4 linked regions of the Elephas maximus indicus genome follow. The protein of the gene in region 2 interacts with the protein of the main gene of each other region in a biochemical or structural test. Links are inferred from orthologs where the notes say so. Each region holds a gene or a part of one and is shown on either strand. Other genes may lie near its edges. The genes, in order: MAPK9, MAPT, tubulin alpha-4A chain and CDK2.

The links.
Region 1: of the proteins of MAPT (region 2) and MAPK9, one has a biochemical effect on the other in vitro, tested with the Homo sapiens proteins (2 studies listed by BioGRID). The link is inferred for Elephas maximus indicus from reciprocal best matches to the Homo sapiens genes MAPT and MAPK9.
Region 3: the proteins of MAPT (region 2) and tubulin alpha-4A chain are reported together in a solved structure, tested with the Homo sapiens proteins (2 studies listed by BioGRID, with this or other methods). The link is inferred for Elephas maximus indicus from reciprocal best matches to the Homo sapiens genes MAPT and TUBA4A.
Region 4: of the proteins of MAPT (region 2) and CDK2, one has a biochemical effect on the other in vitro, tested with the Homo sapiens proteins (2 studies listed by BioGRID). The link is inferred for Elephas maximus indicus from reciprocal best matches to the Homo sapiens genes MAPT and CDK2.

Annotation. Positions count from the first base shown.
Region 1 is NC_064820.1:202,713,844-202,720,861, forward strand, and holds the start of MAPK9 (mitogen-activated protein kinase 9), read right to left. Parts: upstream 3,009-7,018; 5' UTR 2,803-3,008; intron 1-2,802. UniProt on the Homo sapiens protein: Serine/threonine-protein kinase involved in various processes such as cell proliferation, differentiation, migration, transformation and programmed cell death.
Region 2 is NC_064837.1:52,645,734-52,653,456, reverse strand, and holds the start of MAPT (microtubule-associated protein tau), read right to left. Parts: upstream 3,018-7,723; 5' UTR 2,895-3,017; intron 1-2,894. UniProt on the Homo sapiens protein: Promotes microtubule assembly and stability, and might be involved in the establishment and maintenance of neuronal polarity.
Region 3 is NC_064824.1:117,843,585-117,851,262, forward strand, and holds the start of tubulin alpha-4A chain, read right to left. Parts: upstream 3,002-7,678; 5' UTR 2,922-3,001; coding exon 2,919-2,921; intron 1,194-2,918; coding exon 971-1,193; intron 664-970; coding exon 515-663; intron 273-514; coding exon 1-272. UniProt on the Homo sapiens protein: Tubulin is the major constituent of microtubules, a cylinder consisting of laterally associated linear protofilaments composed of alpha- and beta-tubulin heterodimers.
Region 4 is NC_064822.1:115,940,252-115,948,224, forward strand, and holds the start of CDK2 (cyclin-dependent kinase 2), read left to right. Parts: upstream 1-4,956; 5' UTR 4,957-5,176; coding exon 5,177-5,292; intron 5,293-5,997; coding exon 5,998-6,075; intron 6,076-6,178; coding exon 6,179-6,299; intron 6,300-7,556; coding exon 7,557-7,727; intron 7,728-7,973. Other genes in the region: melanocyte protein PMEL, read right to left, coding at 1-86, 466-600, 780-926, 1,082-1,192, 4,128-4,203. UniProt on the Homo sapiens protein: Serine/threonine-protein kinase involved in the control of the cell cycle; essential for meiosis, but dispensable for mitosis. Phosphorylates CABLES1, CTNNB1, CDK2AP2, ERCC6, NBN, USP37, p53/TP53, NPM1, CDK7, RB1, BRCA2, MYC, NPAT, EZH2.

The sequences.
Region 1 (7,018 bases), on a different chromosome or scaffold from region 2:
GGCTGCTATGGGTCAGAATCGACTCGATGGCAATGGGTTTGGTTTTTTGGGTTTTACCACCAAATCAATAGAGTTAAAAGAAAAAAAAGTGCTTTCTGTTTTACCATATTCATCACGAAAACAGTTGGTTTGAGAATGTACTTACTCACAGTATTTGCTGCATCAAAACTTTTCTTTAACCAGATAATTAAGATGACTTTATTTTAAAGAGAAAAATATGAAATTTAAGTGTACCCTCTAACATTTATTTAGGGAACCAAACAAACACCTTTTAATCTGTCAACAAATTATTTAAAGTCATGGCACCTTAAAAATAAAATTCTCAGGCATATCAAAGCTCTCCAGAGAAGACTGCCAAAATACAATTATTTTTAACCCCTCGAGATCCTTTTGAAGGAAACAAACAAAATGGATAGAGGAAAACATCATCTAGATTGGATTTTGTTCTTACAGAATAACAAAGGCCAAAAGAGTGTGCTCAGAGCTGAAGGACCCAGGAAAGAACACTGGATCTGGGGGAGACCTGGGTTCAAATTTCACTTACCAGCTGCTCATCTGAAGCAGACTGCTCAAACTCTATAAGCCTCAGTTTCCTCGTCTGTAAAAATGGGTTTCATAGCTGTTACTCAAGGGCTCCTAACAATTAAGTGGGAGTACCTGGGCTGGTACCTGGCCTTAGGCTACCTTTCCAGTGAATCACAGCAACTTCCTCCTACACAGCCTGTCCTGGAGCATGACAATCCTATAGCCAAGCTGAATGAGGCTTATTATATTTTGCTTGGCTCATAGCAGTTTTTGGTTTGCTTGCTTGTTTTTAGTGTGTGTAATTAATTAACTACTGTCAGCATTTACACAAAAGAGCCCTGGTGGCGCAGTGGTTAAAGCAATTGACTGCTAACCAAAAAGTTCAGCTGTTCAAAACCACCAGTGGCTCTATGAGAGAAAAGATGTAGCAGTCTGCTTCCATAGGGATTTACAGCCTTGGAAACCCTATGGAATCACTGAGTCGGAATCAACTCGATGGCAGTAGGTTTAAGTTTGGGAGATATTTACAAAACCAGGAGAGTAAACACAAAAATCTGGAATTCTAGCTTCTTTTAAAAAATTGCTGGGTGGGGTTCTGGTAGTCCAGGGCCCCCACCACTCCGTGCTCTCTTACACCTGGCCTTGTGGCGGACTTCCAGCTCCATACTGGGCTAAAGCCTGACCCCCAACCTCGTCATACTTCCGTGCCTCTCCTTGCCTGGCAAACTTCTCAGCATCCTTCAAGGCCCAACCCCAACACCACCTGTTGCCTCCTCCACTATAGCAGTCATCATGCTGTCCTGGGACAAACTGTCTGCATGTCTGCTTTCCCTGCTGGGCTCTCTGGGGGAAGGGACCCTGTCGCCATCTCATTTGTGTCCCCAAGGCCTAGCACAAAACCTGACCTAGATAATCTAGAACTCCATAAATGTCTACTGAATGGAAGGAAGATGGAGCTAAAATATCACATGCTTTCATATCGACAGCTTGTTCCGACAGTTACCAAATAAAGAGGTCAAGAACATTAAAACGTTTCACAAAATGAGAACAAGCTTCCATCTGCTTATAGGTCTCACAAGTTAATCAGAAGTCACTAAATTAAAAGATAAACCAGAGGCAATAGGGAGGCAGGGTCATTCCTTAAAGCATCCATTCATTCATTCAACTGATATTACTAAGTACTTACTGTGTGCTTTCTAAGCAGTTGGGATAAAGCAGTGAGCAAATCAGACAACTACCTGTTTTCCTAGTGCTTACATCCTAGCAGGAGAAACAGAAAATAAACAGGCAGACAAACAGAACAGTTTCAAGCCAGAATATACCACTGGGAATAAAATTAAACAAAGGAGACAGAATGACTAAAGAAAGAAAGAGGGTGGTCAAGGAAGGCCTCACAGAAAACATACGACCAGAGATGTCCAGAGAAACGAACACCAAGGAGTCAGCTGTGTAAAGATCCAGAAGACAACTCCAAACACAAGAAACAGCAATTGCAAAGGTCTTGAGGTGTATGAGGCTTGGAATTTTCAAGGCAGGTGAGGTGAGTGGGATAGGAGCACACTGCTATGGATGGAAGGGACGGGAGAGGAGGTGGGCAGGGCCGCTCAGGCGCTGCCAGGGGCATTGAGTGTGCAATAACAAGGCACTGGAAGAGTGCAAGGGCTGGAGGCTGGGAGGGATGGGATTGTCCTGCCACTCACACCTGCAAGGGGCACCATCCTGCCCGATTTCCCACAAATGTGTACAAGGCTCACGCACTTTCACACACCGCCACAAACCTGACAACCACTCTGTACAAAAGTGTTGACAATTCGTCCTTTTCCCGATGGGTAAACTGAGGCATGGTGAGGGTCAGTGCCTTGGCCAAGGTCGCAGGGACCAGACCCGGAGCTCCTGAGCATCGCAGCACCGGTGTGTGTGCAGCTGCGCGCCCCGGAGTCAGGAGGGGTGGCACCCGCAGACCCCTTCCTGCGCCCCCACCCCCCACAACTCCTCACCCCCGGGCAGGTCTGTCGGGGCCAGGCCCGGAAGCCTGCCAACACCCGGGACTGCTAACAGCTGGGAGGAAGGGGGCGATTGCGGCAGCCTCTAGGGCAGGGGCGGCGGCCCGGACCGCCAGCTCCCCGCAGGCCCTGGCCCACCCCGCGGCCTGCATCCGGCAGCCCTGCGCCCACTCCGCAAAGCCCGGCCGCTAGCCCTCCCGCCGCCCCTTGCCGGAGGGGTCCGGACCAAGCAGCCCCCGCCGGGCCTAGCCTTCTCGCCACCCGCCGCGCTCACCTCGCCTCCCCGCCGCCGCGCCAAGGGGAGAGGGCGGGCGGGCAGACTGGCAGCGCTGCGCGCTGGCAGTTCCCGGATCCGCTGCCCCCGGGCTCGGCCGGCCGCCCCGCCCCGCTACGCCCAGCCGCCGCAGTGGGTGTGAGGGGCTCCGGGGCGCTTCGACCCTTCCGGTCGGGTTCCCTCCGCAGCCGCCGCCGCCGCGGCGCCTTTCCTGACTGACCGGAGGGCCAACCAATCAGCTCGCGGAAAGCCGGGCCGACGCGGCCAATTGCGCCAGGAGGCCCACCCGCTGCTGGGCGGTGCTGGCGAGGCGGCAGGTGGGGCGGCAGGCGGAGCCTGCGGCCGGGTCGGTTGCCTGAGGTCTCGGTTGGGGTATGGCGGGGCTCAGCGTCTCTGAGACCGTGCGCTTGCTCGGGCCACGCAGCCGCCGCATACAGACCTGCCTAGTGCGTACCATGGGCTGGAGGCGCAAGCATGACTCGGCCCGCCCCCCAAGCCCGGCAAGAAGGGCTCGGCACGACGACCGGACGCGGACCCGGGAGGCGGCGGAGAGGGTAGACAAAACCGAGATCCGGGCCGGAGGCGGACCTGGCTGGGGCGCCTCACCGCAGTGGGGCCGAGCAGGAGCCAGCCTCGGGGCTGCGGGTTCAGGCTCGCAGGGACCAGGCGTCCCGGAGGTGGACTGAGAGCCGGCCCGTTTCGGGGAGAACCCGGGCGAAGGCGAGGGGAGGCTGGGGCCGGGTCGCCCGGGAATCGGCGTGAAACGGCCCTGGGGGAAGTGGGAGGAGAGGCGCAGGGCCTTTCGACTACGCTGCTCACTGCAGCTGGGGGAGCTGCGCGCCTCAGTGAAGGGGCTTTTCGGGGATGCGGTCAGAATCCAGTTGTTGCAGGGGAGGCCCGAGGAGATGGAGAGCTTCTGTGTAGACAATCTCTCCCAGTTGATCAGCGACTGAGGGAAGGAGAGGATGGACTGGTGCGTCTGGTGGCAGGGCTGAAACGAACGGGGTCCAATCCCTCGGTCTTAGAGGAGAAGGGCAAAACCGTAAATGGAGGGTGTTAGTGCTGGTGGCGCAATGGTCAAAGCGCTTGGCTGCTAACCAAAAGGTAGACGGTTCCAACCCACCAGCTGCTCCGCGGGAGAAAAGACCTGAATATCTGTTCATGTAAAGATACAGCCTAGAAAGCCTTATGGGGTTCTGTCCTAGGGGGTCGCTATGAGTCGGAATTGGCTGGAGGGTACACAACGAGAGTGCTGAGGGCCCGCTAGTGACTGGGGTCTGTTGACACTGAGCTTTTGGGGCTTCTCCTGCAGCCCTCAAGGCCCTCGGGTCAGGTAACTGCCGGCTTAGTGTCTTAGAAGATGAGAGTTTATCTGGTGCTGTGGCTAAGTAAAGACGGAAGTGAAGCAAGGACGCTGAATGCGTTTAGAGAAAGCTTGAGGCCAATGGATGGGGTGTGAGTGGGGGGAGTTAGACTTTGGGGATGGGAAGAGTAGGAGATGGTGCTTGGCAAATGGTGACCTTGGAGAAGGAGCAACAGTCCTAGGATGCCAGGGTCCATGGAGTGACTAGGGGTAAGGGATAAGGTAGGAAGAAGAAGCAGGACCCCGTAGATGGGTGGTCAAGGGACTGAGAGGCATGGGTGGCAGAACTTGGGGAAGGCAGCAAGACTGACTAGGTATCAAGGGGACCCGAGTGCCGAGCAAGGCTGGTGGCACCACTAGGGTCTCAGAGGAGGGGTGGGGTAGAGGAAGGGATCGAGTCATGGTGTCCCCATTAGGCCACCCTCCCCCCCCACTATGGCCACCAAAGGGAGGTTTCTAAAACTAACTATAGCTCTTGAGTGTGGCCTTCAATGGAGGGCCCACCTAATGGGTTCCTGCTGATACTTCATTGACGCCTACCACCTGCTTCGGGCACCCTGACTTCATTTGCACTCCAGAAAACAGAGAATGAAAAATGCCACCATCAGGGATTTGGGGAAACTAGTAAAAGCCTGGCTGTCAGTTGTAATTCTACCAAGGAGCATTTGTGGAACCTTCTGGTCAGATTAGGAAGGGAGCACCAATTCCCAGACACATACTGTGCCCGATTTTACAACATCCACCTTTAAAATGCACCCTTTACCCTATGCAAAGTGAGTAACCAGCATAGCAAAACTACAATGAGATACCATCTCATTGTTAAAATAAATAAATGTTGGAGACCTTTCGAGGAGATTAGAACTCTTACGCACTGTGGGTGGGAATGTAAAGTGGCACAACTACTATGGAAAACGATGTAGTGCCTTCTTAAAAAGCTAGAAATACCATACAATTCAGCAATTCCATTCCTAGGAGTATTAAAAAAAAAAAAAAAGAAATAAGAGCTGTCACATGAGTAGACGTATGCACACCCATGTTCATCACAACACTATTCACAATGGCAAAAGGATGGAAACAGCTTAAGTGCCCATCAGTAGATGAATGGATACACAAATTATGGTACATACACACAATGGAATACTACGCAATGATAAAGAACAATGATGAATCTGTGAAACATCTCATGACGTGGATGAATCTGGAGGGTATGCTGAGTGAAATAAGTCAAACACAAAGACAAAATACTGTACACGATCACTGTTATAAAAACTCAAGAAAAGGTTTACACACAGAAAAAAACATTCTTTGATGGTTACGAGGGAGGGGAGGGATGAGGAGGACAAATCACTATATAGTAGAAAAGTGTCAGCTCTGGTGAAGGGAAAGACAACACACAATATAGGGGAAGTCAGCACAACTTGACCAAGGCAAAGTCGTAGAAGTTTCCTAGATACATCCAAACACCTTGAGGACTGAGTTGCTGGGGCTGAGGGCTGGGGACCAGAGTCTTGGGGGACACCTGGGTCAGTTGGCATAATACAGTTCGTAAAGAAAATGTTCTACATCCTACTTTCGTGTATAGCATCTGGGGTCTTAAAAGCTTGCAAGTAGATGTATCTATGATACATCTATTGGTCTCATCCTGTCCGTAGCAAAGGAGAATGAAGAAAACCAAAGACACAAGGAAAATAATTTGCCCAAAGGACTAAAGGACCACATGAACCACAGCCATCACTAGCCTGAGCCCAGAAGACCTAGATGGTGTCCTGCTACCACCACAGACCAATTCTGACAGGTATCACGATAGAGAGCCCCAGACAGAGGGGGAGAAAAATGTAGAACAGAGTTCAAATTCACAAAAAAAAACCAGATTTACTGGCTTGACAGAGACTGGAGGAACCGCTGAGACTATGGTCCTGGACACCCTGCTAACTCAGAACTGAAGGCACTCCCAAAGCCCGCTTTTCAGCCATTAGACAGGTCTATAAAACAACACACGTGAGGAACGTGTTTCTTAGTTCAATTAAATATATGAGACTTAGTTATGTAGTGCTGCTATAGTAGAAATACCTCAAGTGGATGGCTTTAGCAAACAAGTTTATTCTCTTACAGTCTAGTAGGCTTGAAGCCTTAATTCAGAGTGCCAGCTCCAGGGGAAGGCTTTTAGTCTTCCTCAGGGCTGGAGGGACGCCCTTGTCATCAATCTTCCCTTGGTCCAGGAGCTTCTCCAGGCAGGAACCCTGGGTCCAAAGGATGTGCTCCACTCCAGGTGCTGCTTTCTTGGTGGTATGAGGGCCCCCCTCCCGATCTGATTCTCTCTTTTAGACCCCAAAAAAGATTGACTCAAGATACAACCTAATCTTGTAGATTGAGTTCTGCCTTATTAACATGACTGCCTCTAATCCTGCCTTATTAACATCATGGAGGTAGGATTTACAACACAAAGGAAAATCACATCAGATGACAAAATGGTGAACAAGCACACAATACTGGGAATCATGGCCTAGCCAAGTTGACACAAATTTTGGGGGGACACAATTTAATCCATAATAGAGACCAAATGGGCAACTCCTCCCCAAAAGCAAGACGAGAAGGTAGGAAGGAGCAGGAAAACTGGACTAATGGACATGGGGAACCCAGGGTGGAAAGAGGGAGAGTGCTGTCACATTGCTGGGATTGCAACTGATGTCACAACAATATGTGTATAAGTTTTTGATTGGGAAACAATTGAGCTGTAAACTTTCACCTAAAGCACAATAAAATTAAAAAACAAAGAAACTAAAAAATCACTGCACACATAGTCACACTGAGTTTTCTCTAAGCCTCCTATTTATCCCAGAAACACTGTTTTTT
Region 2 (7,723 bases):
GGTCTCGCTGAACAAGAGAGAAGCCCCGCCTACTAGGGGTCGGGGGCGGGGAGGTGGTGGCCCTTGTATCCGTGCCCGGACGTTTCCGGAGGCGCAGCAACCGGCCCAGCGTTTCAGCGTCCGTTTAAACGCTGCATCCCTCGAGATGCCCCGGTGAGGCCGTTCGTTAACGCGCTACAAATCGCCGGCCGAAGGACCACACTCTGGCCCCTAAGATTCCTCCATGAGCAGCCCCCGGGCCTTGCCGGCTGGAGTGCTTCATCAAACCAACACATTTCATAATGGAGCGAAATCTCAGACGCGTGGACCGCGCTTTGTTCCCGGCATTGGGCTAAGTGCGCTACTCCCCGCCAGTTCCTTTTCCCCCAACAGGCAGGAGGTGGCATCTCTCTGTCTGCGAGTCGCCACGGGGAGCCGTGGCCGCGGATCCCCTTTCCCAGGGCCGCGGCAGGACCCTTGCTCTGTCTGCACGAGAATTCCGCCCCCAGAGCTGCCTAGCCGGGGTCCTGGAGCCGCTCTTCGATCAGCCCGCCGAGGGCCCAGCTCTGCGGGGAGGCCTCGCAGCAGAGGGGCGGTCTGACCCCAGTGGGCTCTGGACTCCGATCCAAGCCATTCCCCGGGAATTCAGGTCAATCTGGGCGGCCACAGCGGACGATTCGGCCATCTACTTCGATCTGTGCCCCAGGCCAGTTTGCAGAGACAGAACCAACCAGAAACCGGGCAGGCCCGCCTCATCGCACGTGTAATCACTACGAGGGCGAGGCTGGGACTTGCTCGCAAGGGGTCCCCCGTCCCTGGTTTCAAGGGCACCAGTGAACCAGGGCTTTTATGCGAAAATCCCGCACGTTTCTAAAACGATAGTCACCAGAACGGCCATAATAATAATAAAAAGACTACAGGGACGCCTCTCTGGGTGGCTGAGGCCGCCAGTGGCCAATAAGGAAGAGCCGTGGACCCCACCGCGCCATCAAAGGGATGGGGGGCGTGGCCCCGGCCTCCCCAGATCCTCAATCTTCGCGGGTAAGGGGCGGAGAACGCCCCATGGCCCCTTCCCGGGTCGCGTGTGGTTTCCATGGCAACCCCCACGTAGCTCCCCACAGTCCACTCGGAAAAGATGGATGTGGCCGCAGCACCCCAGAGAACCTCAAGCTCCCCCCCCCACACACATCTGCTCCGGGAGAAGCAACAGGGAGTAGAGTGGAGACAGCCCCTGCCTGCGAGCCCCTGCATCCCGGGGGATGGGGTCGCCCGCACCTCTCACTGTGCAGCCTTTTGGGGAGCGAGCCCCGGGACGCTCCGGGTCTGGGGAGCGTGGTCCCCCTGTGGCCACTGGCGGGGTGCGCCAACACCTCGAATTCCACCTCCTCAGCTCAGCGGATGCCTCTGGGGCTTGGCTGGGCTCCGGGAGGGGGCCGCGCGAGGACATGCCCGTTTCATGCGTGCCCCTGAGGCTGTGACTCGGGTTCACCGATCCCGGCAGACACCGAGATTCAACAAATGGCTCTGAAATGCAGGGGCGAAAAAAAAAGAGGCAGGGAGGCCAGGGGACTTGGCGAAACACCCCCCATAAACTAAAAGTCTAAAATCCAGGGCTGGGAGCGCAGATCACGTAATCCCTCCAAACAAAGCAGCGAGACCCCGAGAAAGGTCCTGGGTGATCGCCCCCAGTGCTCACGCCCGCAGCGGATAAATGCCAAAATGTCAGCGCCGACTGCCTGCCCCCCCTTTAAATAGCAGTCTCCGCCCTGCTCCTCCGAGGCCCAGCCACCCAGCCTGGCTTGGTACCGTACGTGGTACGCCGCAAAAAGATGGCACCTCGCGTTCTGAGGGGAAAAAAGCGGGGGGTGGGTAGGAGGAGGCACAACCCACCCTCCTCCTCCTCTCCCACCCGGATCCACACCCTCTGCCGCAGTGAGGGGCGAACCCTGCGCGCCAGCCCAGCGCCTCCGGCAGGGAGCGCACACGCCAGCCGCCCCGCGCAGAGCGCAGAGAAAGGGGCCCGCCCCGAAATGCACCTGCAGCCCCCGCGCCCGGCTGCGCGCGGCTGCGGCTGTGCGCGCCCGCGGCTGCGCGCGCCCAGGAGCAGGGACCCGAGGCCGCCGAGTTTGTCCAATCGCAAAGCCGGGTGACCCCTGCCTTTCCGAGCCTCCACACTGAGATCCGCGAAGCTGCTCTTGTGTCGGTGCCAGGAGTGCACAGGGGGAAGGGCAGCTAAAGTGACAGCTCCTGGACCCCTCCCCATCTCTCCGATTCCACTCCCAGCCCCCAAATGTCCCCTGCGGTTTCTGAAGGAAGAAAAGGGGGAGGGGGCGGGCCTCCGCCTTAAATCAGGGGCAGAGAAACCCCATTGGAATCGCTTCTGGGGAGACGCAGGGAGGGGTAGTCAGGGAGTCATCTTTTCTAGAACCAGACCTGTACCTTCCTTAGGGCTGCTGGCAAACGGGAGCAGAGAAATCAGATTACAGGTTCGGTTTCGGGGGTCGTCATTGGATCCCCACCTCCACATACACAGACATACGCCCATTGCGGCAAAAGGTGGCGTTCAAGAGTGTAGAGCAGCCCCCTCCCCAGGCCACCGCCATCCGCGCCCCACCCTGCGGGCACAGCCTCGGCCCCCGCCCGCGTGAAGCCGGACGTGCGGACCCCTCCCTCCTCAGCGCACACACACACACACACACGCAGTCACACGCGCGCGTGCATCCTTTGCACGAGTTCCTTTCCAAGCCGCCCTAGCCCCAGCTCCAGAGCGCAGAGGGCTCAGGGAGGGGCCCCACCTCTGTCAACCACTGGTGCCCAGTGCACGAAGCCCATCTCTGCAGCGGAGGGCGAGGGGCGGCCGCGGGGGGATGCTGCGGGGCCGAGGGGTAGGCAGATTTCGGAGCCTCGGCGCTTACCTGCTGGTCGACAGAGGTCGAGGACCGGAGAGAAGGAGAAGGTGGCTGTGGTGGTGCTGCTGGTGCGGGAGTCAGTGGGTGGCGGTGACTGCGAGTGCGCGCGCGCGCCGGCGAGAGGGCGCGCTCCCGAGGCCGGCGGGCAGCGCAGGCGCGAGCAGCGGGAACGCGAGCTTCCCCAGGGGAGGGGCGGGCAGCTAGGCCTCTGCCGGCGTCTTTTCCTCCGGCCACTAGCGGGCGCGCGCCAGCGCCCCACCGCTCGGTCTTTCCCGGCCTCCTTGCTCAATCCTTAGGCGGCTTCCTTCCCCGGTCCTCGCCGTCGGCATGCCTAGGGCCGCGGCACTGACAGCCACGCGCACGCGCGCTCGGTGGCGCACGCGCACTCCCGGCCTCCCGCCGCTGGAGCCTTTGTCTTTTCTGACGGGTCTCGTCCCTCGGGCAGGAGGCTCGGCGACCCTTTTCGGTCGCTGCAAGGCGGGCTGCTGCGGGCCCAGACCTACTGCCGCCTTTCTTCCCGTCATCCCGGGGCGGTGTCCCATCTCAGTGGATGTCCCCATGGCTGGCTCCCCATTGAGTCCACTCCGGACCCCTCTCCAAGGCTTCCTCCAGGCTCGCCCTACTTGTCCCTGACCTGGTGATCCCGACCCTTCTTCCCGGGGTCTCCCGAAATGATCCCCTTGTCGGAGCTCAGTTTCCCTGGGCCCGTTTCCTCTCTGCTTGCTTTCCACCTTTTTTCTTATTGACCAAGTGAATATTTTCCCTTAACAAATCTTACTGGCTAATTCAGCATTACAGTTTTTTTTTTTTTAAATAATGAATTTATTGTGTATAAATTGACCCTAGAAAAAAATCTTAATTTAGACGACATTCGAATGGTGCTTATAACATTGCAGAGCCTTTTTTTATTTGTTGAAACACCCGTGTACTGTAAGTAGAGTTGAGATCTGAATTTCTAAGTACCTGTTGGAGATTCTCACCTGGATACACACATTCTCCCGGTAACCCAGGCCCCAGGCCCTAGCCTCTGACCTTACTTGGATTCCTTATCCCCTAAAATGTAATTAAGCCCTGGCAGTGAGAGACTTTCTATGTAGGGGGTCAGGGACAGCCATCTCCTCCTAGGGGGGTGGGAACTTATCTTGAAACTTTATTTGCATAGCTTACATTCTTTAAAAAAAAAAAAAATGTGTATCATAGATTAATATAAAAAGCAAGTCACTGAAAATGCTTTATTAACTCGGATTTAATTTTTCCAGTTGCTGTCGAGTCGATTCTTACTCATGGCAACTCCGTGTTTGTTAGAATAGAACTGTGGTCCTCAGGGTTTTCAATAGCTTATTTTTCAGAAGTAAATCACCAGGCCTTTCTTCCGTGGACTCTAACCTCCAACATTCAGTTAGCAGCTGAGCAGTAACCTTTGGCAGCACCCAGGGGCTCCATAGGTTTGATTAACATATTATTGGCAGCAATGGGGGATGATGATAGGTACAAGAGGCTAATTCCATAAGTCTTTGTAAGTGACGTTATTGCTGTTCTCCCACCATCCGAGCTGTTCTGGACATACAATTTGTTGTTGTTGTTAGGTGCCATTGAGTCAGTTCCAACTCACAGGAACCCTATGTACAACAGGACGAAACTGCCTGACCCTGCGCCATCTTCGCAATCCTTGCTATTTTTGAGCCCATTGTTGCAACCACTGTGTCAATCCATCTCTTTGAGGGTCTGCCTCTTTTTTGCTGACCCTCTACCAAGCATGATGTCCTTCTCCAGGGACTGGTCCCTCCTCATAACATGTCCTTCAAACCCTAGCTCATAGTTTACTAAATCCATCCCTAATGACCCCAACTGGAGGGGATAGTTCCAGCTTCTGGAAGGAGTTTATCAGAGTTACTCATCTCTCTGGAAGTGTCAGGAGGGGTAAAGGGGGGTGACTAATATCTATCAGATTAAGATTTTATTATTGTCCCCAATTGTTTCTTCTTTTGTAGGGGTTATACATCCCCAGCCATGACTGCATGATCTGCCTTGCCCCAGCTCTCAGCTCCTCTGTTGATACTTGGCTTGGCCCCGAGGTGGTCTTCGGCAACTACAACTAGTAGATGTGAGATACACATGATATATACTTATCCCCTCCGTCACTACAGTGGCATGAACCCTTAGGATTACTTCTTCAGCCTAGGTTCCAGAATGAAAACACGCCAGAAAGCGCGTATTACATGAACAAGAAATAAACATTTGTTGTGTAAGCTGCTGAGATTTTAGGCAGGTCTTCAAACCAGTTTGTTCCAGTTCAAACCCCTGCTGAGAATTTACATTTCCACCCCAGATATACTGAATCAGAATCTGCATTTAACAAGATCCCTGGGTGATTCTTACGTATAATAAATTTTGAGAACCACTGCTCTACTAGTGGTTCTCAGAATCAGTCCCTAACCAGCAACATTAGCATTGCCTGGGAACTTGTTAGAAATGCAAATTTTCAGCAGGGGTTCAAACTGGAATGAACCAGTTTGAAGCTTGATTTTTAGGTTTGTTTATTACACCAGCAAAGCTGACCAACTCAGGGATTAAATGAGATAATTATAGATATCTTGTTTCTTGTGGGCTTTCATTAAATGATAAATAGTAGTTATTATTTCATCATCATTATCAATGCTTTTGCTACACATTACTTCATTTCTTTACGTAAAATAAATGGTAGCAGCCAAATATTCCTCCCCATTCAAATTTCTCATTTTCTTTCCTCTAAAATTTAGTATAATTGAAAACTGACAGAGACCTGTGACATTGTGGTCCCCTGATACTGAATGATCACATTTGCCTAATACTAAATTGAGATAATGGATGCTAGAAACAATCTTAAGCAGATCTGTCATCTGTTTGTAATGTGGAGTTGAGTGTTGCTTGCAGATAATTTAATCACTGTTGGTAGCTAATGCTTCACTAATTCAGGCCAAGAAAACGCATCCATACTCTCAACCCTCTCCCTTGCTGAAATAGAAATCTCCTGGCCACATGGAGCACACCCTGCCCGCATATAGAGAGCCATGGAAGGCAGAATGGCGTAGAGGAAAGAGAACTGGATTAGGTCTCAGGAGAGTTGGATCCTAATCTTAGCCATTTTGTCTGACCTTCGACAAATTCATTAACTTTTCTGGGCTTCAGTGTTTTATGTAATGGTGTCCTAGGTGGGGTTAGATCTGAGATACAGATACCTGTAGAATTAGGAAACTCTGCCATCAGATCTAATCGCATACTACATTAGTCACAGTAAACTAAGCTATTGTAACAAATAGACTCCAGAATGTAATGGCTCACTCAGGTAACAGATATCACTGGGCTAAAATCAACTGGGATTGTTAAGGGACAGGTACGTCAATCCTAGCCTGAGAATGTATATTAGTTTTATCACTGATATGAAAAATTACCACAAACTTTATGGCTTAAAACAATGCAAATGTACAGTTCTGGAGACCAGAGGTCCAAAATGAGTCTTATGGGACTAAAACATGGCATGTTGACAGAACTTTATTCTTTCTAGAGGCTCCAGGGGAGAATCCATGTCCTTGCCTTTTCCAGCCTCTAGGGGCTACCTGTATTCCTTGGTGTGCGGCTTCCAGCCAGCAATCGAATTATTCAGACCTCAGCTTCTGTCCTCAAATCTCTTTCTTGGACTCTCTTCTCTCCTTTCACCCATAGGGACTCTCGTGATTACATTGGACCCACCTGGATAATCCAGGGTAATCACTCCATCTCAAGATCCTGAATTTAATCACTTTGGCAAAGTCCGTTTGCCATGTAAAATAGCATATGCATAGGTTCCACGGATTGGGATGTGTGGACATCTTGGTGGGGAGGGCATTATTCTGCCTACCACAGAAGGACATGGTGATCATAACCAGAACTGAGATCCCCCAGAGAAGATGGCCTGGGTCATGCTGTCAGGTAAGCCCTTAGACCAGTAGAGGTGAAAGCTGAGGGTGAGAAGAACCTGGAATGGATAATAGGGGAGAGAGATGATGAGTATCAGTGATGGTCCCAAGACCTGTTACAGCTGTGGGGGTCAAAGGTTAATAAGGAGAACAAATTGTCCTCTTCTAAGGTTCCCCCAAGAAGAGAGGCCCACTGAAATCCTGAAAAATCTGATTCCTGAATGTGTATGCAAAAGTGGATCTGAGCAGTGCAAGGGGTGGGCTGTGATAGATATGAAGATATACCACCTAGAGGCCCCTTTAAGGAAGGACTTTTTGCCCCAGCTCCTGGTTGTGCCTTCAGCTGTCATAGCCTTCAAAAATTGCCTCAGCTGCAGAGTACCCCACATCTAGTGACTGACCTGGTGGGGTTATACAGGCTTAATATGGGACAACTCTGATGGCCCATTTTGGCTCCAGAGAATCCTGTGGGGTCAACAGAGGCTGCTGTTGGGCCTGAGTCCAGCTTGACTTCTCCTTCTTCCCAATTCTGCCTTTTTTCCCCCTCCACGTGTATTGATCCCAAGGGCACTCCCTAATAAATATCCTACAAGCTAAACTCTGTCCCAAAATCTGCTTCCCAGAGAACCCAGACTGCTCTTTCATTAATGCATTAAATAACAAAATCTAAAAGCGGGTTAATAACGTTTTTACTTTCAAAGTGGCAGGAATCATAGCTGATATTTTGAGATATCTGTAACACATGTACTATGATATGAAAATATGTATTGATGACAAAGTCACAGGTATGTACTGTTACTATTACATTCATCACTGAAATACTAAATTCTAATAGAGGTTGTAAAGATAAAGATGAGTGTTTTCCTCTCTAAGTTCGTGGACCCTCAACCTTAGAACCCT
Region 3 (7,678 bases), on a different chromosome or scaffold from region 2:
TTGCGGCGGCAGATGTCATAGATGGCCTCGTTGTCCACCATGAAGGCACAATCTGAGTGCTCCAGGGTGGTGTGGGTGGTCAGGATGGAGTTGTAGGGCTCGACCACGGCTGTGGACACCTGAGGGGCCGGGTAGATGGAGAACTCCAGCTTGGACTTCTTGCCATAGTCAACAGAGAGCCGCTCCATCAGCAGCGAGGTGAAGCCGGAGCCGGTACCCCCTCCAAAGCTGTGGAACACCAGGAAGCCCTGAAGTCCTGTGCATTGGTCAGACTGAAAGACAAGAATGAGAAAGAGCAATGTAGGTACCAGGGAGGGGTCTGAGGAACTCTTTGGGCTTCACAAAAGCCTAACATATTTCAAGAGTCAAGGCCAAGACTACTGAGCATCCCACAGCTGCAGTGTCATGCCCTAGGATATGCACAATTAAGAGCTGACCTCCTGAAATGGATCTGAAAACAGTGTTCCTGACCATTCACATAGTCTCAGAAGCTCCCTCCCTCCCAGATTCTTACCAGCTTGCGGATCCGGTCCAGCACCGGGTCGATGATCTCCTTGCCAATGGTATAGTGACCACGGGCATAGTTGTTAGCGGCATCTTCTTTCCCAGTGATGAGCTGCTCTGGATGGAAGAGCTGTCGGTATGGGCCATTTCGGATCTCATCTGGAAGGGCATAAACCACATGGTTAGGGCAAAAACCATAAGGCTGTGCTCAGCAGAGACCTCCCTCCTGCAGCATGGTAGCTGTGGTCGGATGTATGAAAGAACTTGTCCTTCTGCCAGACTTGAGATAGCAGAGCGGGAGAGGAACCCAGACCTGCTGCCCAAGCCAGCCTGAGATCAGCTTGCCTTTTTCAGCTTCAAAGAGGGCTACGAAAGCCAGGTCTAGACACCCTCTTTTCAGAGAGAAGGTCAGAGCCACCCTCAAATTCCTCCACCCCCCCCCCATTCCTGCCCCTCTTCCTCTCACCAATTACAGTGGGCTCCAAATCAACAAAAACTGCCCGGGGCACATGTTTTCCAGCGCCGGTTTCACAGAAGAAGGTAGTGAAGGAGTCATCCCCTCCACCAATGGTCTTGTCACTAGGCATCTGGCCATCAGGCTGAATCCCATGTTCTAGACAGTAGAGCTCCCAGCAGGCATTGCCCATCTGGACACCTGCCTGCCCCACATGGACTGAGATGCATTCACGCTGAGGGATAAAGAGGGGACACAACATAAGTCCCACACCCACAATTCCTCACCTCATAAGCCTCCCTCCTACCAGCTAGGATGACTTAGTTGGCAAGAGTGGGGGCTTTGGGCTGGGCAATGGTCAGAAGAGGCTGGCAGCCCGTCCAGGCTCCCCCACCTTAAGTCTCCTGCACTGAAGGCACCCAGAAGGGCAGGCCAGCCCCTTTGCCTCCTTCTCAGTGGGGAACTTGTCAAGCAAGAGCTTTGGCTCTACATGACCCCGCCACATTCACAGGACACTCAGGGAGGACGCAGAGGGCAAGGCATACATTGCAGTAACCGAGACATGAGACTTCTCAGCCTGATCCCTACTGCCCAAAACGCCAGCTTCGCAAGAGCCTGCAAAGGCGCAGAAGGTTCACCGGAGCTGAGTTTATAGCTAGAGGCCCCCCACCTGATTAATTCTTTCCTTTGAGGATGAACAACTCGAATTTCATACAGTCCTCTCCCCTCTTCTTTACTGTGGGCTGCAGAGGTGTCTTCAGCTTCCAGTTGGCATCAACTGACCATAATGGATATCCCCTTCCCCCACCTTTAAGTCCCATCTGGCTCTGGGGATCAACCCATCTGGCTCCTCTCCCCACCTCCATCCCCGCACTCTGGGCTTCTTCACCACCTTCATCCACCGCGTCAGCCCACACAGAAATAGCAACAATAAAACTAGTGGGCACAGAGGGCAGGGCGGGCAATAGGGGCTAGGGACACAGGGACACTCGTTGCCTTAGGCTCCATCCCTGTCAGTCTGGTTAATCTCTGAAGCGCCAGAGCAGTACGTGATCCGCGCAGGGCCCGCGTAACCTCCCTTTCCAACCCCGAAATGGCGGGGTGACGGTTACCCAATACCCAGAAAAGGAAGCAGAACCTGCGGTAAGGCCCCAGAGGTAACCGACTTTGCCCCGGGGGGCGAGCTCCATCCTGCTCCCCGGCCCTGCATCTGCCCTCCCTCTAGATTCTTTCCAGTTACTTCCCAGACCTGGGGTTTAATTTCGGCCTCCGCTCCTGGGCTATAAATACCACCCCCCCACACACACACCCACAGACCTCTTTCCCCTCCCCCCGCCTGGCCCCGGCCGCGCTCTCGTTCAGCGCCAGCTGTCTCTGCCCGTCGGCGCACCGGGCTTCGGCTGGAGAGGCTAGCTCCGCTCCCGAAGCCGAAGCCCATTCCCGCCACCCCTCTAGGCTCAGAAGTGGGGTGCTGAGTCACTGGGGGGCACGGTAGATAGGGGGGATGCACACACAATCAGAGGAAAAGGGGGCGCGGAACCAAGTAATCTGACCTCCTTCCACCTACTTGGGCCAAGCACGTGTTCAGTCTGTTCCAGGAGCGGGGGTGGGAGAATGGGGTGCTGGGCAGCCAAGCGGGTCTTTCCCAGACCTTGCACGGGCCCGCGTGACTACCCGCAGGAAGGTTAGGGCACAAGTGCTTGGTGGGGCAGGGGCAGGTGGCCAGGAGGGCTCCTCTCTGTTAATGAAGAATGCCACCCTACCCGATTACCCATTCCCAGGTTCCCAAGGTGGACGCCACGGTTCCGCCAAAGTCACCAGGCAGGGGTTAGGGGGATGCAAAAATCCTCGCACTTTCTCGAGACCTGGAACGCCCGCTGGAAGGTCCCGGGAGCAGGGGGGTCCCCCGAAGGAGAGGGGAAACCGGGGACCCCCGCGCTGCCTGCAGGGCCGCACTCACCATGGTGAGTCCGGGCGGTGCGTCTCACGTAGAGTCGGGGTGACGGGTCTCGGTGAGAACTGCGTTAGCTGCAGTGCCGCACCGCTCTTATAGGCGGGGGCAGGGCCCGCGCGCTCGACCCGCCCGCCGGGGGCTGGGTGGCCCAGAGCCACGCCCCCTCCGAGGGGTGGGCGGCCGCGAGGGGTGAGGCCGGGCGGGATCCCTCCCCAGCTGCGTCGAGTCCCTCACCTGCAGGACTTGGGCTAGGAATAGACGCCGTGGCTTTAACCCTGCGCTTCCGGTTTTGAGCTAACACTCGGGGCCCCCGAGCTCCGTGGCAGGGACGCAGGGCGCGGTGCCAGGGCTCCTCTCGCCTGCACCCGCGTTATGGGGGCGCCGGTCGCCCAGGTGTGCAGACTTAGGCCGGATGGCGTCAAGGCCGTCCTCCCGACGTGGCTGCAGCCGTCCTTCGTCCAAACCTTCCCCGCCCCGCCTCCGGGGCAGCTCGGGCAAGCTGCCCAGCTCCGGCCCGGCCCTGGGAGCCCCCTTCCAGCGTCACGCCGCCTGCTGGTCCCCAGCCGGTACCCCTGGCCTTCGCTGACGCCCGTGAGCTGTCGAGGCCTGGGAGCTGCACAGCCTGAGCCCCATGGTGCTGGTCCCTTAGTCTCTCCGGCAGAGCCGAGCCCCCCCCCCCCCCGCCTACCTGCCAGGGCTGACCCCGGGAATCTGAGCGGGTCGCCGGCCTCCCGCCCCGTCAGGGGCCGTCATCAACGCCGTCACTATTAGTTAGCTAAGGCCATCGCTGCCTGCCCACCTTCCTGCCGCCAGAGCGCAGAACCTGGAACCCTCAGGACCTGGATTCGCATCCACACTGCCCTGTGGGGCCTTGGGCAGATGACACCTCACTGCATCCTTGGCATCTACATTGATAAATAGAAGAAAATCATTCTGCCCTGGAGGCATTGTTGTGAGGTATCAGAAGGCTCGGTGACTCTGAAGAGGGAAAAAGAAAATGGAGATTCTGGTGTCATGGCTGATTTTTACTTTCCCATCCTCTTCTGTCTCTACGTCGCTGACATGACCTGAGCCAGCAGCTTAACGTCCTCATCGGTGAGACAGAAGCCATAACATCTTTCTACATTTCATTTCCGTTTCTTGCAAAAACAGACTTTTTCAAGCTATTTCTCCGTTCCCTTGGTTGCTTTACATTTTCTGTCTCCCTCCGCTGGGGAAATTGGCCAGGCAGCTCTTCCATGTGCTCCTCGTTGTTGTTGTTAGGTGCCATCGAGTCTGTTCCAACTCATAGGGACCCTGTGCACAACAGAGTGAGACACTGCCCGGTTCTGCAATTGTTGCTATGCTCACAGTTGTTGCTATGCTTGAGTCCCATTGTTGCAGCCATTATGTCAATCCATCTAGCTGAGGGTCTTCCTCTTTTTCGCTGACCCTCTATTGTTACCAAGCATGATGATCTTCTGCAGGGACTAATCCCTTCTGTTAACATGTACAAAGTATGTGAGACGTAGTCTCGCCATCCTTGCTTCTAAGGAGGATTCTTGTACTTCTTCCAAGACAGATTTGTTCATTCTTTTGGCAGCCCATGGTATAGTCAATATTCTTCGCCAACACCACAATTCAAAGGTGTCAATTCCTCTTCAGTCTTCCTTATTCATTGTCCAGCTTTTGCATGCATATGAAGTGATTGAAAACTCCGTGGCTTGGGTCAGGCTCATCTTAGTCCTCAAGGTGACATCTTTGCTTTTCAACACTTTAAAGAGGTCTTTTGCATCTGATTTTCCAATGCAATGCATCTTTTGATTTCTTGACTGCTGCTTCCATGACTGTTGATTGTGGATCCAAGTAAGATGAATCTTTTCTCCGTTTATCATGATGTTGCTTATTGGTCCAGTTGTGAGGATTTTTGTTTTCTTTATGTTGAGTTATAATCCATACTGAAAGCTGTGGTCTTTGACCTTCATCAGTAAGTGCTTCAATTCCTCTTCACTTTCAGCCAGCAAGGTGTGTCATCTGTGTAACACAGGTTATTAGTCTTTCTCCAATCCTGATGCCCCGTTCTTCTTCATATAGTCCAGCTTCTCGGATTATTTGTTCAGCATACAGATTGAATAGGTATGGTGAAAAGATACAACCCTGACGCACACTTCTCCTGACTTTAAACCACGTGCTCCTTGGCACTTCTTTAATAACTCTGTCTCCTGGGTTAGTCACCACTTGGGGAGGATTCACACCATCAAATGTCCCCTGGGCCAGTACAGTATAACACAATATGATACAATAACTAGTGGTGGCAACTTGCTATCAACAAAATAGCTGGAAAGGGATACAGTAAAATATGATGAGGTCTCTGTTCCCAATAAACTTGCCAATTGGTTGAGAGGACAAGACTCATTCATAAGAAGAAAACTGACAAGGCCCATTTGGGAAATAAGGTCATGGGTCTCTACAGAGGAAGGAGCCCTTGGTGACCACAGGACACATAGCCTCTTGCAGGTCTTCCTTGTGCCCCCTTATTCCCCCCATACCCCCACCTCTTGTTCCCCCTATACCCCCACCTCTAGCAGAATGAAGGTAGTAACAGACCTGAGCTGTCTTAGACAAAACCCTAGATCTCTTTTACCTTCAGGTTCTTCATTTGTAAAACTGGAATAACAACTTTGGGTTGTGAGGGCCAGATGAATTTAGGGAGGTGTAAACTTTGTTGTTGTTCGGTGCCATCAAGTCAATTTTTGACATAAAGTGACAAAGTAGAACTGCCCATAGGGTTTTCTAGGCTGTAATCTTTACTGCTGCAGAATGACCTTTCAGTTAGCAATCAAGTGCTTCACCATTGTGCACCCAGGGCTCCTCTCCTCTAAAGTAGACCTATTTAGTTAACTCAGCGCATTGTCATCAAGTCAGTTCCAACTCATAGCAACACTATAAAGTTTAGTGTAAACTTTAGGGAGGTATAAGTATACTGTGTCCCTGGGTGGTGCAAGCATTTAACGCACTCTGCTGCTAACCAAAAGGTTGGAGGTTCAAGTTCACCCAGAGACACCTCGGAAGAAAGGCCTGGAGATATACATCTGAAAAATCAGCCATTGAAAAACCCCATGGAGCATAGTCACCATGAGTTGGAACTACAGTAATGGCAACTGGTTTGGATTTTTTCTAAGTACACTGCAAAGCACTGGATAAGGGTCTTATTCATCTTTGTGTTCCCAGTTCCTAGTATGATGCTTAGTACATCGTAGGTCTTTGCTAAGTGTATGTCACATGAATAGTTTTACTACATGGTTGTTGTTGTTGGGCACCATCGAGTCAATTCTGACTCATAGCGACCCCATGCGACAGAGTAGAACTGCCCCATAGGATTTTCTTGGCTGTAATTCTTATGGAAGCAGATTGCCAGGTCTTTCTCCCACAGAGCCACTGTGAGGGTTCAAATCACCTACCTTACAGTTAGTGGCCTACTGCTTAACTGTTGCAATGCCAGGGATGGGACTAAAATTAGGGTAAAATCCAAAAACCAAACCCATTGCCTTTGAGCGCATTCCAACTCATAGCAACTCTACAGGACAGAGTAGAACTGCTCCTAGAGGGTTTCTAAGGCTCTAATCTTTACAGCAGCTGGTGGATTTGAACAACCGACCTTTTATTTAGCACCCTAGTGCTTAACCACTGTACCACCAGGGCTCCTTAAAATTAGGGTTCAAAAAACCCCATTTCCATTAAGTCAATTCTGACTCATAGTGACCCTATAGGACAGAGTAGAGCTACCCCACAAGGGCTTCTGAGGCTGTAATCTTTATGGAAGCCAACTACCACATCTTCCTCCTGCAGAGTGGCTGGTGAGTTCAAACCACCGACCTTTTGATTAGCAGCTGAGTGCTTAACCACTGTGCCACCAGCACTCCTTAAAATTAGGGTAGAACTCTAAAAATTTGGAAATTGCAAACTGGTGGCCTGGAGGCCAAATTTCCTCTCTGAAATGTTTTGTTTGGCCCTCCCACCATTAACCTCCATAGTATTTAGGCTATTAAAAAAGCAGAAACTATTACTCTGTCAGGCACCCCAAGACTATCTCGATGTTTGGAGATTCCCTGGAAGGAATCACCGACTCAGGGTACCATTGTACCCACAGCTAAAGTTTGCTGCAGTGATGTGGTAAGGACATACAACTGGATCATAAAGGGGAAAGACGCAGAAGGAATCTGGAGGGAATCTGTGCTCTCTCCCTCTCATAGGGCTCACACGAGTGCACTCTTCCTCCAGCAACGAAAATGCCATATTTTCCTGCAATGTTTCTGCCCAGAAAAACCCATTAGAGACTCAGTGCCCGTGGTTTTTATTGGGGACTAGTCCACAGAGGTTAAGCACTCGGCTGCTAACCAAAAGGTTGGTGGTTGGAACCCATCCAGTGGCTCCGCAGGACAAAGGCACTCTGCTCCTGTAAAGATTACAGCCTAGAAAACTGTATGGGGTGGCTCTACTCTGCCACATGGGACTGCAATGAGTTGAAATTGACGGCGCCTAACAACAGTCACGTAGGGGAGTGTCTGGGTGGTGCAAATGATTAATGCACTTGGCTGCTAACCAAAAGGTTAGGGGTTCAAACCCACCAGAGGTTCCTGGCAGTCTACTCCCCCAAAAATCAGCAATTGAAAACCCTATGTAGCACAGTTCCCACTCTTACACACATGGGGTTGCCATGGGTCAGAAGTGACTTGATTAGTCACACAGGCACCTCTGCCTAGCGTATACCAACATCCCAGACTTTC
Region 4 (7,973 bases), on a different chromosome or scaffold from region 2:
TTCCATGGTATGTGTGCCCAGCACTGCCCTGCCTGTGCCAAGGCTCAGCCCAGACACTGGGCCCCCCAGAACTTGCCAGTATTGGCCTGAGGTTTTGGGGAGAAAAAGCAGGGATAGGAAAGGTTATTGGCCAGAGGAGAGTGAGGGGCAGAATTAGAGAAGGGACACTGGAGAAAGGAAGTCAGGAGGTGGGTTGAGGATGGTTACTTTAGAGGCTGTGATGTTGGGGACAAGGAAGAGGTCCTAAGGAGGGGTTCCATGGGGTGGTACTACAAATGGGGAAGGGCTCCCAGAAAGAACTATGATAGAGTTAGGGGGATAGATGCTAGGGAGGAGAAAGCAGCCAGGGAAGAAATAAAGCTTAGAGGAAACCAGAGGTTAAGGGGTGAGGTCAAAAATAAAGGCTATCAAGTAGGAAAAGGTGAATCCAAGATGGGAGACAGTCCAGAGAAGCGAGTCCCTCACCCCAGGTCTTCCAGACATAAACAAAGCTTCTCCTCTGAGACCATGGGCCAGATGGGCAGGGTCCACCATCAGGGAAGATGCAGGCATCATCAGGGTCCTGGGGATACACTGGTTGTCCTTCCCACACCTGGCTCCCTGAGAGGTAGAGACAGAGTAACCCTCAGACAATGGCATTCTTTTTTCTTTTTGGTTTATCTGTGTTTTCTAGTTCTACTATGGTACACATGTATTATACATATAATTCTCTGAGTTCACTGGGGATTCCAGGGAATGTGAACCCTAGAAATGAGGGCCTGAAATAGAGAGGTACTCACCATTGATGGTGGCATTGTTGGCCCAGATGACCTGGCCATCCAGCAGCACTCTTTGGCTTTCAGGGAAGTGCAGAGCAATAGAGAAGGAGGCATTTGCCCCAATCAGAGTGGGCCCATCATTACTGACCTTCAGGGACACCTGGCCACCTGAGTAGGGAGGCTCCATTAGCTGGGACTCTCAGCTGCCCCTCCCTGTACACCTTTCCCCTTCCTACCTTCCCAAGCTATATTCAATCCAGTTCTTGCTTCTCTTCCCATCCCACTCCCGCAATGCCCTCCCCACACAACTGCCAAATTCCTACCTCTCCAGCAGTCAGACCCCCGGACTTCTGTCCACTCTGGATATAGTTGTCTGTTCCAGGCTTTGTTTCTGACCTGCCTTGAGATACCAGGCCAGTCCTGGTCTCTGGGTCCTAAAAGGAGTGTACCATTAAGGATACCAGGTCCTCACTCAGCCCCCTCGCAGAGGATAACATTCTATCCCATGTCACTCCACTCATTCTCAAAAAGTGCATTTTAATTTACCGGGTACCTGCCATGTACCAGGCACTGTGCTAGGCAAAGAGAACTTAACAAATGAATAAGACTTGAGGCTGCAGCTTAATGAGGGAGGCACTGAAGGGATTTAAGGTGAAGTACAGGAAATAGACATATACGTAAATAGCTATATAATTCAAGGCACTGTTTAATATGTACCATAACAAACACCCATAAAATAGAATGAAATGACAGATAAACAGATTAATCTCCCTCTGGCAGATTTGGAAAGGCTTCAATGAGGAGTTGGCATTTGGGCTGTGGGATAGAGCATTCCAGCAGAAGGACCAGCAATGCGTAAACGCATGAAGGCATGGAAGCACATGGCATGTTAGGGGAACAGCAATGTGGCTGATGCACCACTGTGAGAGATGAGGTTAGAAGCCTGGTTGGGGGCTTAAGTGCCAGGCTAAGAACTTTGGTCTTTAACGTGTGGGCAAGATCACCTCAGAAGGCATTTCTTGTCTGTTTGTTTTTAATTGAGATATAATTCATCCATATGCTGTCATGGATTGAATTGTGTCCCCAAAAAATATGTGCCAACTTGGTTAGGCCATGGTTCCCAGTATTGTGTGGTTGTCCTCCATTTTGTGATTGTAATTTTATGTTGAGAGGATTAGGTGGGATTGTAACAGTATCCTTACTCAGGTCACCTCCCTGATCCAAGGTAAAGGGAGTTTCCCTCAGGTGTGGACTGCCCCACCTTTTATCTCTCAAGAGATAAAAGGGAAGGGAAGCAAGCAGAGAGTTGGGGACCTCATACCACCAAGAAAGCAGCACCAGGAGCAGAGCGTGTCCTGTCCTTTGGACACTGGGTCCCTGAGCCTGAGGAGCTCCTCCACCAGGTGAAGTTTGAGGACAAGGACCTTCCTCCAGAGCCCACAGAGAAAGCCTTCCTGTGGAGCCGATGCCCTGAATTTGGACTTGTAACCTACTAGACTGTGAGAAAATAAATTTCTCTTTGTTAAAGCCATCCACTTGTGGTCTTTCTGCTATGGCAGCACTAGATGACTAAGACATATGACATAAAAAATTCACCCTTCAGAAGGTTTTTGAACATGATCAGATTTGTGTTTTAAAGATCACTCTAGCAAGCAGTGAGCAGGATAAATCAGAATCAGGGGGAGGTTAGGGGTGGGGACAGAGCAGACAGAAAATTATTTTAACTGATCAAGAGAGAGGTCGGAAAAAAAAGGATCTAATGACCTCCACATGCCCTCACCCAGATCCAACAACCATCAACAGTTTGCTACATCTGATTTTTGCTTGTGTGCTTTTTTTGGCTAAAGTATTTAAAAGTAAATCCCAGGCATCTTGTTATTTTAAACCTACAGACTCAGTATGTACCTGTAAAAAATAACGAATGTTTTCTTGCATAAGCGTGATAACTAAATGAAATGATCAAGTGCAGTCCATATAAAATTGTCATGAATATTTTTAAAATGCCATTTTCTCATTTTTTAAATCAGAATCTGAAAAGTAAGCACAATCTTTTAAGAGCCTCAGGTGGGTGAGTATGAACAGAATGTTCCAAGAAAAGGATACATTGGAGAACATAATAAAAGAAAAGGACGTGGAGACTGTAGCACACATGAGGGAGGTCAGATGAAAGAGAACCTCCCAGAAGTGTATGAGCCTAGGGATCTAGAGAGAGAAATGGGGGCTGAAACATAATGTATACATTTCAGCATGGCAGAAACTATTCCCACCCCTTTTCTGCTGTGTACTGGAAACCTAGTTGATTCTTCTGGGAGAGGATCCAAAATTATCACATTGAACATCCCACCGCTACAGCAAGAGTCATGAGATGCCCCATTCTTTCTCCATTCCTAACCCTCTCTCCTTAGGGCAGCATGGGACATTCCAGACCCTCTCACCACATCTAACCCCACCCCTTGCTCCTGTCACGAGGCTTCAATCCTGGGAGAGCCCTTTCATGTGATGCTCAGCTGAGACCCCTCTGCCTGTCTCTCCCTGCCCCAGAACAAAAGGCCTGGACCGTGTTCACCCACTCCCATCCCAAGGGGGGAAGGTGATGCCACCTTAGCCTTCTTATCCAATACCACATTCTCTTACTCCCCACTTTAAATCTCCCGCCTCAAGTGCCTGAGACATTACCTAGAAGGTTCTCCCACCCATTTCACCCCCTTGGAGCTCTAGCTCATTGTCTGGGGGCCTCAGATCTAGGGCCACAAAGACCCACTATCTTTTGCCCAGCAAGCAGACGGGGTTGTTTTCAAGCTCAATCTCAAACCTCCATGTGGGGAAGGAGCTCAGGTGCCCATGTTCTCTCACTTAATCAGGTGGGTGGGAGAAACCTGAAGCAGTGCCCGGAAGAGCTGGTCTCTCCCATTAAAAAAAAAAAAAAAAGTTTTATTCGAGTCGATGCCATGTGTTACAGAGTAAGGAGCCCTGGTGGCACAGTGGTTAAAGCACTTGGCTACTAACCGAAAGGTCAGTAGTTCCAAGACACTAGCCACTCTGTGGGAGAAAGATGTGGCAGTCTGCTTCCCTAAAGATTTATAGCCTTGGAAACCCTATGAGGCGGTTGTATTCTGTCCTTGCAGGTTCACTATGAGTTGGGTTTAATAAATTAATTAATTTATTTTGGGAGAGGAGTTACAGAGTAGAAGTGCTCAATAAGATTTTCTTGGCTGCAATCTTTACAGAAACAACTTGCCAGATCTTTCTTCCGTGGCATCACTGGGTGGGTTCAAAACCACCAACTACCAATTACACATGGCAAAAAACCAGAGTAGGTGTCCATCCCTAAATTCACACCCGCCCATGTTGATGCTGCCCCACGCTCACCTTCTGTGGCCCCCACAGCCAGCAGAGCACCCATCACAGCCACATGGAGAAGGCATCTCTTGGGCACCAGATACATCCTGTCCTTCTCTCCAGCATTCCAAAGTGCCAGGGGGCTGAGGCAATCCCTTTATAAGAAAGGGGTGCTTATTTGCATAGCCCTTCCTCCTCTCAGCCGGGGAGGGACGAGGGAACTAGGGAGAGGCTGCATTGACTCGGGTTTCTGGCCCCTGGACACTCCCTTCCCATCTCCATATCCAATGAGTTTCTCCTTTCACTAGGTCTCTCTCATCTTGACACACTCCATCCCCCCCACCCCAGTTGACTGAAAGGCAGCTACATAAAAAATACCGAGCACACACAATTCATCATGGAAGAGTGAATTAATCAGTTGTTTGAGTCAAACCAGGAACCTCCTAAAAAGACAGAAAGAGACTTCGCATCCAAACACAGAGAGAGACAGTATCGGGGTAGGCTGAGGGCAGGAATTCCTTAGAATGACGGTGAGATTCCCAGCTTTCTGATTTTCCAAGGTAGCTCCTTGGGCCAAGTGGAATTTAATCTTAGGTCGAAATACATTATCCCCAGGGGTGATTAAGGAATCCCCACAGACTTGGGAAACAGGCAGAAAACTCGAGGCCAAATCAGGTACTTGGAAAAACGCCATCGGCAGCCCAAACAAGCCAGAAACTTAACGCCCTCGGAGTCGAACTTGCGAGGGGTGGGGTCACTTGCGGCCACGGGCTCCGGGCGCTCGGCTAGTCACCCCCGCTCTGACGTCCGCCAATAGGAAGGGCCGGGGGCGGAGCCAGTGAAACGCGGGAAGGAGGGGCGGGGCCTCTGGTGGCGGTCGGGAACTGGGGCGACGGCAACATTGTTTCAAGTTGGACAAATTGACAAGAGCTGGAGATACACTGCGTTCCATCCCGACCTGGGGCCGCGGTGCCCGGCGGTGTCTCTTCCTCTTCCGCCCTCCAGAGCCGGGGCCCGCCTTTTGCAGGGTTCCCAGGCCCCCGCTCCAAGGCCGGGCTGACCCGACTCTCTAGCGCTTCATGGAGAACTTCCAAAAGGTGGAAAAGATCGGCGAGGGCACGTACGGAGTTGTGTACAAAGCCAAAAACAAGGTGACGGGAGAAGTGGTGGCGCTTAAGAAAATCCGTTTGGACACGTGAGTGGCTTCTGTACCTGGGACTCCTAACTGAGGAGCTCTTTTGAGTGCCCCCCTCCGCAGGCGGGCAGTGGTCCAGAGACCGGAAGGTAGTAAGAAGGGACTTTTTTTGAAGTGGGAAGGTGGGTTGGGGGACCGACTAAAGAATTTCCCCAGGGAAAGTATAGTGTGCGTTAGAATCCACGGAAAACTTCCCCTCCAAACTGAGCCGGGTGATGCCCCCAAACGTGCAATGTGACAGACTCAAGATGAGGAAGGAGGCCTTGGGGCTGGGGTCCAGAACTCCCCTTAGAGTTGGTTTTCGGAAACTAGTGAAGAGCACCTTTCTGAATGAAGGGCCTTCCTCTCTGCCCCAACCCCACCCTCATCTTAGAATTCTTTACCTATTTCAAAGGAATGGCAGTTGAACTTCACTGGCCCCTCTGGGGAGGCTGGGTGCTACTCCCTCATTTTTTCTGTTACCTTCTCTCTGCTTCACCTTCACCAGGTGGCCTCACTTAAATACCTTTGGAAAAGAGGAAATGATAACCTTAATGTGTCCAAAAGCTAATCCCTGCTCCACCCAGGAATTAACTCCTTCAGCACTCTTTCTATTTTCTCACTGTCCTTGGGTCGTGCTTCCTTTGGGGGAAAGAAACGACTGGCCTGGGAGAAAAGGAGTATTTGTAACCAAATTCCCATCTCTGCTCTCCCAACCCCTCCAAGTGAAACAGAGGGTGTACCCAGTACTGCCATCCGAGAGATCTCTCTGCTTAAGGAGCTTAACCACCCTAATATTGTCAAGTAAGTATACCTGGGAAGTGGTCTGATAGCAAAGGGGTATGAGTTCTGTCTGTGTAGTCTGAGCATTTCTCTCTCACCTCCACTCCGGACCTCCCTTCCCTAGGCTGCTGGATGTCATCCACACAGAAAACAAACTCTACCTGGTTTTTGAGTTTCTGCACCAGGATCTCAAGAAATTCATGGATGCCTCTGCTCTCACTGGCATACCTCTTCCCCTCATCAAGGTAACACTTCTCATCAACTCCTCCCCAGGATGATCATGTCTTGGGGGGACCAGAGGTAGGCAATTCAGACTGAGTGATGATTTGTGATCTTGGTTCCCTTCCCAGCCCTCATCTTTCCCCCTACACACACACACCCACATACACACACCTTTTGTGGTTCTTTCTCTGCTCGTTATGTTCACTAACCCTAGGACTGGGCAGGAGAATCAAGCCCAAGTCCAGTGCTGTCCAGTCGATTCCGACTCATAGCGACCCTACAGGACAGAGTAGAACTGCCCAATAGAGTTTCCAAGGAGCGCCTGGCAGATTCCAACTGCCGAACCTTTGGTTAGCACCTGTAGCACTTAACCACTACACCACCAGGGTTTCCAGGAGGATCAAAGAAGTTAAAATTCTAGTGAGTCAACTTAGCAGCACAGGTGGGAGGTCAGAGGAAACTCTGGATGAATGAAATTTGAGGGCATTTGTCGGTTCCTTCAAAAAGCCTTTCCACCTGTTGCTTGGTGGGAGTAGTAGCCAGTGAGTCTGTTGTCTGTTTTAAGGCTGGATTCTTTACTCCTTGAGTAACTTTTAATCTTTTTACAAATGTTTATTCAATGTACTGAGTCCTTGGGTGCCACTGTATAGAGTTTGGCTACTTACGAAAAGGTTGGTGATTAGAATCACCCAAGACGTGCCTCAGAAGAAAGGCCTGGCAATCTACTTGCAAAAGATCATAGCCCTTGAAAACCCTATGTACAGTTCTACTCTGAAACACATGTGGTTGCCATGAGCTGGTATTGACTTCATGGCAACTGGTTTGGTTTTTGGTTTTATTCAATGCATATTTATTGAATGCCTTCAATGCAAAACTGAATAAAGCCTGGTCTTTATCTTCACTGGGCTTACACTCCAATGGGAGAAATAGTTTGCTACATGTAATTCTAACCCAAAGGTCCCTGGGTGGTGCAAATATTTGCACTCAGCTGGGAACCAAAAGGTTGGTGGTTCGAACCTACCCAGTGGCACCGAGAAATGGCCTAATGATCTGCTTCTATAAATGTTACAGCCAAGAAAACCCTATGGAGCAGTTCTACTCTGTAATAGATGGAGTCTCTCCAGAGTCAAAAACCAACAACACAACAAAAACAAAATCAACAAAAACATGTAATTCTAATCCAATAGAGTAAGAGCTTTGGGGGCACAGAGCCCTAATCTGCTCCCTGTGTTGGAGAAACTCAGTCCTCTCTCTCTCTCTCTCTCTCTCCCCTTTGTCAGAGCTATCTGTTCCAGCTGCTCCAGGGGCTAGCTTTCTGCCATTCTCATCGAGTTCTGCACCGAGACCTCAAACCACAGAATCTGCTTATCAACGCAGAGGGGGCCATCAAGTTAGCAGACTTTGGACTAGCCAGAGCGTTTGGAGTCCCTGTTCGTACTTACACCCATGAGGTGAGTCCCTCTATGCTTTTCTCTGAGCTCTGCAGAGGTGATAACAAGTGCATTCACAAAATTACTAAAAATATCTGGCCAGCTGTTTCTCTGTCTTAGTAGGTGGAAAGAATCTCTGATACCCTAAGAGATCTTAGAGAATGCACAGAATTCACTTGTGGGGCTTGTGGGGCCACCTGAGCTTAGATAATGCCAAATCAGGATAGCTGAATAACGGGACACCTTTAAAATCATGACTATTTGTCT